Danio rerio: one gene and its partner. The protein of the gene in region 2 purifies or fractionates together with the protein of the main gene of each other region. This does not show direct contact. Links are inferred from orthologs where the notes say so. Each region holds a gene or a part of one and is shown on either strand. Other genes may lie near its edges.

What was found. The genes of interacting proteins can lie anywhere in the genome.
Region 1: the proteins of rims1a (region 2) and erc2 purify together in Homo sapiens (affinity purification with western blotting; 3 studies listed by BioGRID and IntAct, with this or other methods). This does not show direct contact. The link is inferred for Danio rerio from reciprocal best matches to the Homo sapiens genes RIMS1 and ERC2.

What each region holds. Positions count from the first base shown.
Region 1 is NC_133186.1:39,767,269-39,771,503, forward strand, and holds the start of erc2 (ERC protein 2), read right to left. Parts: upstream 2,801-4,235; 5' UTR 2,747-2,800; intron 1-2,746. UniProt on the Homo sapiens protein: Thought to be involved in the organization of the cytomatrix at the nerve terminals active zone (CAZ) which regulates neurotransmitter release. Seems to act together with BSN. May recruit liprin-alpha proteins to the CAZ.
Region 2 is NC_133188.1:30,910,912-30,914,411, forward strand, and holds part of rims1a (regulating synaptic membrane exocytosis protein 1), read right to left. Parts: exon of another isoform or gene 2,849-3,500; intron 2,441-2,848; coding exon 2,139-2,440; intron 1,745-2,138; coding exon 930-1,744; intron 1-929. UniProt on the Homo sapiens protein: Rab effector involved in exocytosis. May act as scaffold protein that regulates neurotransmitter release at the active zone.

The DNA of each region.
Region 1 (4,235 bases), on a different chromosome or scaffold from region 2:
ATAAAATCTAATCTATGCCAGCAGCAAGCGTATGAAGCTTTTAGGTCTCCATGAACGTAACTCAAAGAGACTGAGCTGGAAATGTCAGCAGAGTTAAATGAGAACTAAATGGCAGAAAGCGCTTTTTTGGTCAGTAATATATAGAAGGCAGCTGCTCTCCAGCATAAATGGCTTAATCAAGGTGGCGGGATGAATATCACGAGCCACTGACTCTCGCTGCCACCCACTCTGACGCTGACAACAGTGTGTTCACAGAGGCACAAAGGGCAAATTACCCAGACTTCAATAACACGACATGCTCAGAGAGAATCTGGCCAAGCCATACATCTGTTGCATTGAATGCAGTTTAGCCAAGACAGTTTAAATCCAAAACATTTATAAAATTGAAGTCAATCATTTCTATGAGTACTCACATTTTTACAGACCTCATCATTACCCTGGGGAAATATTTTAGTCACTAGTCCATCATCTAAAATCAATTTATGCCACTTTTCAGCATACTTCATTGGAATAAATAAAATTAAATAAAAATGTAAAAAATAAAAATTTAATCAAATTAAAAAAATATTAAAAATAAAATAATCTAAAATAAAACAAAAATAAAATGAAATAAAACAAAAAGATTCTTTTATAAATGTACAAATTTTACATTAAAAAACTATAACCAAATATCACCCCTTTACACAAATAAAATTAAATCCTTATCTTACAATAAGGTTTTATTTAGGTAAATTTGCTGTGCTAAAATAAATAAATCAATAAAATAAATCAAGCACAAATTATATGACTATGCTTTAAAAAAGCATTCAGTCTGCTTCAATTTGACAAATAATCCAATGTATTGGCTTTTATCTTTACGTTTTTGTGAAATCAATAGCAATTTCTGATGATTTCTGCATATATCAGTGCATAAGAAAGCATATTCACAAATTCCTATGCAAAATTCATATACAATTTCCAAGCATTAAAATATGTGATTAAATATCCTGCTCATTTTACAATAAAAAGGCAGCTGAGGATACCAGAAGCTCGCTATATTGTCAGTATTATGGGGAGTGCTTTTTGGTACCTTATAATCATATAACAGAAAGTTGTATATTAATATAAAAAATAAGCTACATGAACTGCCAAAATTTTACCACAAAATGTGCTGACAACCACCATAATACTATAAAAGTAAAACAGAAATCATACGATAATTCAGAGTTCATTGTATGAGGCAAATTATTGACACTTCTGGTTATACCTTGTTTATTGTAAAATAAAAAGTGAAACACTGTAAACCTTTATTTTAGTATATTTCTCTTCTCAGTTAATAATACTAATAATATCAAATCAATGAAATAAATCAAGCACAGATTATATGTCAAGCTATGCTTAAAAAATTCAGTCAGTCGGCTTAAAATGGACAAATATTTCAGTGTTTGACTTCTATCTTTAAGTTTTTATGAAATTAATAGCAATATCTGAAGATTTCTGCATATTTCAGTGCATAGAAATATATATTATTATATATAACATGCAAAATTCATATACAATTTCCAGTATTTTTACGTGAATAAATATCCTGCTAAATTTACAATAAAAAGGATACAGATCTGGCATCTGAGGATACCAGAAGCTCGTTATGGTTCCAGTATTATGGGACTGCTTTTTGGAACCTTATGATCATATATCAGAAAGCTATATATTCTAATATTATATTAAATAACTATATTATTTAACCAAGCTACATAAACTGACAAGATTTTTCCTCAGAATGTACTGATAGCCACTGTAATACTTTAAAAGTACATTAGAAATCATATAATAATTCAGAATGCATTGTACGAGACAAATTATTGATACTTAGAGTTAGATAATATCTTAAGGGTAATATCTTTATATCTAAAATAATACATTGTAAATCTCTATTTAAGAATAGTTCTCATCTCAGATAATCTTAGTAATAGGCCTACTGATAATATCAGTTGAATGGATTTTAAAGAGTGACAGTTCAAACTACACAACCACTGTTAACAGATGCCTGTAGGTCACACTGTGAGAAAAATAATGTCCCTTAATTTTTTATTATTTCCCAGAGACAATGTCCGAAAACCAATAAATTATTTGATATTTTAAAGACCAGACAGAACCCGCATGTGAAATCCCTCCCTCATCCAGAAGCCACTGGCTGTGCGCATAACAGCTGTTTTCTGATTGGCTTTTACCACTGTCAATCATCCCCCAAAAAATCACTCCTAGAGGCTGACAGGTCATACATGCCCATGTTTTTTCCTAAATGAGAAGAAATCGCTGAGAAAACCACCAAATGCTACGTGCATTTCAAAATGGAATGCACCAAAATCCACATCACAAAATTATAGGTGTATCCAAATAAATATACAGCTAAATAAACGTCAATCTAACGTTCACATCGAATTGTTCACGTTTAGACAATTAGACCGCACAAATAAATATCCATAAAGCAATATCAAGCGTTTACGAAGACACATTAACACTAAAACGAACAAAAACATTGAAGCAAAACTGACTGTTAATCCTAAAGCAAATGCATCTGAAACAGCATCGAGCGACGCTTCATCTCGTTCATACTACAGCGGATTTAAGCCCATTTTCCGTCATTCAGAAATAATATAATTAGCTCGAATCGATGAATCGGGCCTCATTTCGATTCCTTACTATAAACCCTGTCTTAGTGGGGTGAATGAAAGCCTATGGGTGTCGTTAAATCACGTTTCGTTACCTTTTCAGCGTCGTCGCCGCTCCATCACTGTGCGGGTCCCCCAGCATCAGCATCAGAGTCCCACGTCCTGCATTCACTCCAGTATCAGCATCCCGCGCTCTGATTGGACACACGTACACTAGCTCCGCCCCCGACACCATAAATGCACTTCAGATTTAAAGGGCCAGCGCACAAGAGGGACAAACTAGCCGCGTCGACCACATGAGGCGTTGTCATGTATGTATATGTATGTTGTGTCGGTTGATAAGCTCAATTTTAAGTCAATGTGGCCTGAAAGACAGAGTTAAAAAGAAGAGTTAAATCAAGGTTTATCGATATTATGACTAATACTAGCCGCGTCTCCCACCTGAGGCGTTGTCATGTATAGGCTAGGTAGTCTCAGTTGATAAGCTCAATTTAAAGTCCATGTAGCCTGTAAAGACATAATTAAAAGAATAGTTAATCAAGGTTAATCTATATTATAACTTTAACTTAATCAATGTTTGTATGTATGTATGTATTTGTATATAACTTAGGCCCATCTAAAGTATTCTGGTTATATATATATATATATATATATATATATATATATATATATATATATATATATATATATATATATATATATATATATATATATATATATATATATAATTACATAGCCTGTTTGTGCATGTGTCATCATATGTATCATAAATAATATGATAAAATATTATATAACATTGCATATGAATAAAAAATACCTTCCATTTTGTTGAGATATACATACATAAGTACAAAAGTACATAAATATTCATTTTACATACAAACACATAATCAATTTACTCATGTAATATACACCATATTCGTAGTTGTACAAATGCCAAGTGGTAGCACTGGCATGGTAACAGGTTTTTGTAGATTTAGAGTACATATGCTTAATGAATTATATTGAATTAATTAACTTGTTTAGCCATTAAATGATGAAAAGCTCATTTGGTAAGAACCTCCTGTTCTCATTATATATTCTGTGAAGGTCATCTCTGAGAAGTTTGCATGAAGTTGAGTGATGAGCTCTTCGCTGTCTGCAGCCATGCCAATCATATGCAGCCAAGTGTGATCATGTGACCCCTGCTGTAATTGGCTTTGATGCCTCTGGTGCTTTGTGATTGGCTGACTGTCAGACTTTTTCCTCCAGCTCCTTCTCCAGACATGATGCTTCAGGGTGGACAGAGACGGATGGAGGTCTGTCTTTAAACCGCTCTCCACTTTCACCATTAAAAAAAGACAAGGGTACATTATTATAAGATTATGACTAAAATGCATTCCTGCCTGAACATCAAAGGGATAGTTAACCCAGAAATGAAAATGTACTCACCATTTATTCATGCTCAAGTGGTTCCAAACCAAGTTTTTTTTCTTCAGTTGAACACAAAAGAAGATATTTTGAAGAAAGCTCAAAACCACTGACTTGCATTGTAGGAAAACCAAATACCACGGAAGTCAATGGTTACAGGTTTTCATCGATCTT
Region 2 (3,500 bases):
TTGTTATTATTATTATTATTATTATTATTATTATTATTATAGTTCACATTTTTATGATTAATTTTCCGAAATAAAGACCTCTGAGGCAATCCGGCGCATAATTAAAACATGTGATCTATACATAAAAGCATTTGAAAATTTGAAAACAAATGATGGAAGCATTAGAAAACATTTTTCAAGACAATGACAATGAAATTACATCTGGTAGATTAAACAAAAAATCCACCTGGAGATGAAAGAGCCCACACATTTGACAAAATTTGCAACAGTTTTAAAGACAACCTGACAAAGTACAGGTGCTACCTCAAACTGTTCTTTTTCTATTCTTTATTAAATGAAAATAAACGTCCTACCTGTTGTTTGGATGAGATTGTTGAACCTGATGTTGTTCCACTGATAAGAATGAGCTTGTGTTCTGCTCAATCTTCTGTTCTCCTATTTTTAGTCTCTCATTCCTTCTCATATAGTCTGTCTTTCCTTTTCAACCAACAATGTTTACATTTCACCCGTGTCTTGTGTTAATATGTTGACCTTTTAAGTCTGTGTTCAGTCAGTTTGCCAGACTAACAGCACACTACCATATGAATAACATCCTCTCCTTTAAACCACAAGCTTCAACCAGTCAAAACCAGACAAACATTATTCAGTGCAAAACCGTTTCCTATACACTGTTTATTATTTATTAGTAAAAATCACTGTATTAGTTAAGGACGATATTACATAATAATTTAACTTAGATAAATAATAATAATAATAATAATAATAATAACAATAATAATAGCAAATAAACTTCAACAGATGTAAAAACCATACTGGACAGTGCTGATTTTTTCTTGTAAAATCTTGTGAAAATCTTTTTATTTATATAAACACCTGATTAATTTTTCTTTTTTTAATAATACAAAAAACCAACTGTCCAACTGACCCACCTCTCTCACTGACACTCTCGATCTCCACATCTTCACAGCTGGTGTACTCTGGTGTGGAACCGGCCTCTTCCTCTGAGCTGCTGACGGACATCTGCCTTTTGTTGCCACCCCGTTTGCTCTTATAGGGGCGGGGTGGGGGTGGTCGCAAAGACTCTGATTGGTCAGAGCTGAGCGAATCATTGCGCAGCATGCTCTCTGCTTTTTGCCGTTTTGATTTGCGCAAAAGTGCAGCCGAGCCGGGGTCCAGGTGGCTCGGCTGCAACTTCCTGTCCCATTCCTGAGGCTCCCTAAGCTCAGGTGGACCTGTGGGCATAGCAGGGCCCAGTTTGAACCCCGGTGCAGGAGGCTGAGGGGTGTGGTTGGTTTTAGGTGTTGGACCCTGCATGGCAGGCATACCCTGCAAACCTGTTTCCCCCGCGGTCCTCTCTGGCACATAGGTTGGCTGTGGGCCCTCCAATGAGGCCTGTCGCCCATCTGCCCATCTACGTGCACCTCTGTTGTCTTGCACCATGTCCCCCCCTTCCCTTGATTTAGGGTGCAAGCGTCCATCAGGCTCCGTTGGCCGGAGTTTCCCCGGGTGATGTGGAGCGTTTGGGTCAGTCCTGCACTGTTCCCTGGGTGGTTTCTGCTCCCCCTCTGTCCTCCTTGTCTCAGGACTGTCATGCTCCTGAGAGCGAGTTTTCATCAGTTTTCGACTTTCTCTACGATTTTCTCCGGTGTCCCGCTCTTCGGAATGGATTTTGGAAAGCCTTTGCCGCCTCTCACCTCTTGGCCCTGGCTTTCCATTTTGATCAGAGGCTGCTGGTGGCTTTTTTCTAAAGGGTAAATAAAAACACAACATCACAAAGATATTCAGACAGTCTTATATAAGGATCTTTAAGCCTGCTACTGGGTAGACAACATCCTGAAGAGTTTAGCCCCAAGTTGGCCCATTAAAGTTTAAGCTATAAACTAGACTCTAAATCCTTGAGACCAACTGGCTACTAACTATGCAAATTACACACCAGCTTCAGCAGTGTATGACCCCAGATATACCAACTAAATAACAGGTTGGCTAGGCCATGCTGGTGTTGGAAGGAAGTTGGTCTCCCAACCTAACCAGCTAAAACATGCTCACATTTCCTTTAAAATTGGCTAACAGACATGTTAAAACACATTAAGAGTTTAAAAAAGACCAGCAATATTTTACTGAGAGAAGCTGAAGTGTACCTATCTTGTGGAGGCTCACTGCGTGAGCGCGATGATGGTGTATCAGCTGGGCCTGCAGAAGGACATTTTCTAGGGTCGGTTGGGGCAGATGTCTGGGTAATATGGGCAGTGGAAATGGAGGAGTCGAGAGGGTTCTGAGACCTAGAGCGCATCTTCTTGTCCCCAGAGGGGTCTCCACACATGGCTGGTTCACTCACTGCCGACCCCAGCTCTCCAGGCTTGGGCACTTGACTGGGAAACCAATCTCCTGATTTTGTGAGCATATCCTGTTGCCTTCGGCATTGGTTACATACCCACATTACCTGGGATTGAAGAAATATAATATTTAAAATTTAAATGTAAGGTTTGACTTGATCTTGTAAAGATGAAGTGTGTTATTTCATTAATAAAACTGCAAATATTATTATGAACCAAAATAATGACTCAGATTTTAGACAGTTCTGTGCCAACTGCACAATAAGGCTCCGAAGTCAGAGCAGTGGGCAAATGATTACTTGCAGTTTATTGTAGTCTTAAATTGGACATAAGAAAGTTTTTTTTGCATTACACACTTCACCTGTTTGCAACATATAAACCTAACAACATGTCAACAACATGTAAACCTATGGCACAACACAACAACATGTAAACCTATGGCACATTTATGCTTCTGAGCCAGTGATTAAATGATTAGTTTACTCTGTTCACGTGGTTCACTCAGAAATTTTTTTGCACTTTACATGATCCTAGCTAAAGAATTTGAGTCTTACCTAGTGAAACAATAGATTATTTCCCCCAAAAAAATAAACAAAAAAACTTTTAAACCACAAAATGTTGTCTGGCATTAACTCTAGATTGTGTGGTTAAAAATTTGTATTATTATATTTATTAAGAAAATAATTGTTTCCCTAAGTAAGATCCTTGTTCTTCTGCTGGAATCATTTATATCCATTTGAAGCTGCATTAAAACTGCAAATTAGAAGTTTAAACCACTGTGTACCATATATGGCAAGTGCACAATATGGAGGAAAATCCTGCACCATTTCAGCAAGAACCTTAATTTCTTTTCAATTGAAATGAACATCTTGGATGACAAAGGCTCAAGTAAAATATCAGGAAATGTTCCATTAAGTGAATTAATAACATTAAGAAAAATAGTGCACTTATCTTAAACCTTAAATAAATTGTATTACTTTACAAACATTTTAAAGAATTAAACGCATGGATGTGTAATCTAAAAGACATCTACGCTGACAGAAAGTCAACAAAGCTACAGATGAAAAGCCTGTGTGTGTGTGTCAGTTAAGCCTTTCTTCATCATGTGAAGACCAAAAATAAAAGCTGAGGCATTAAAAAAAGAGCTAAACTGGCAGAGACACCGAA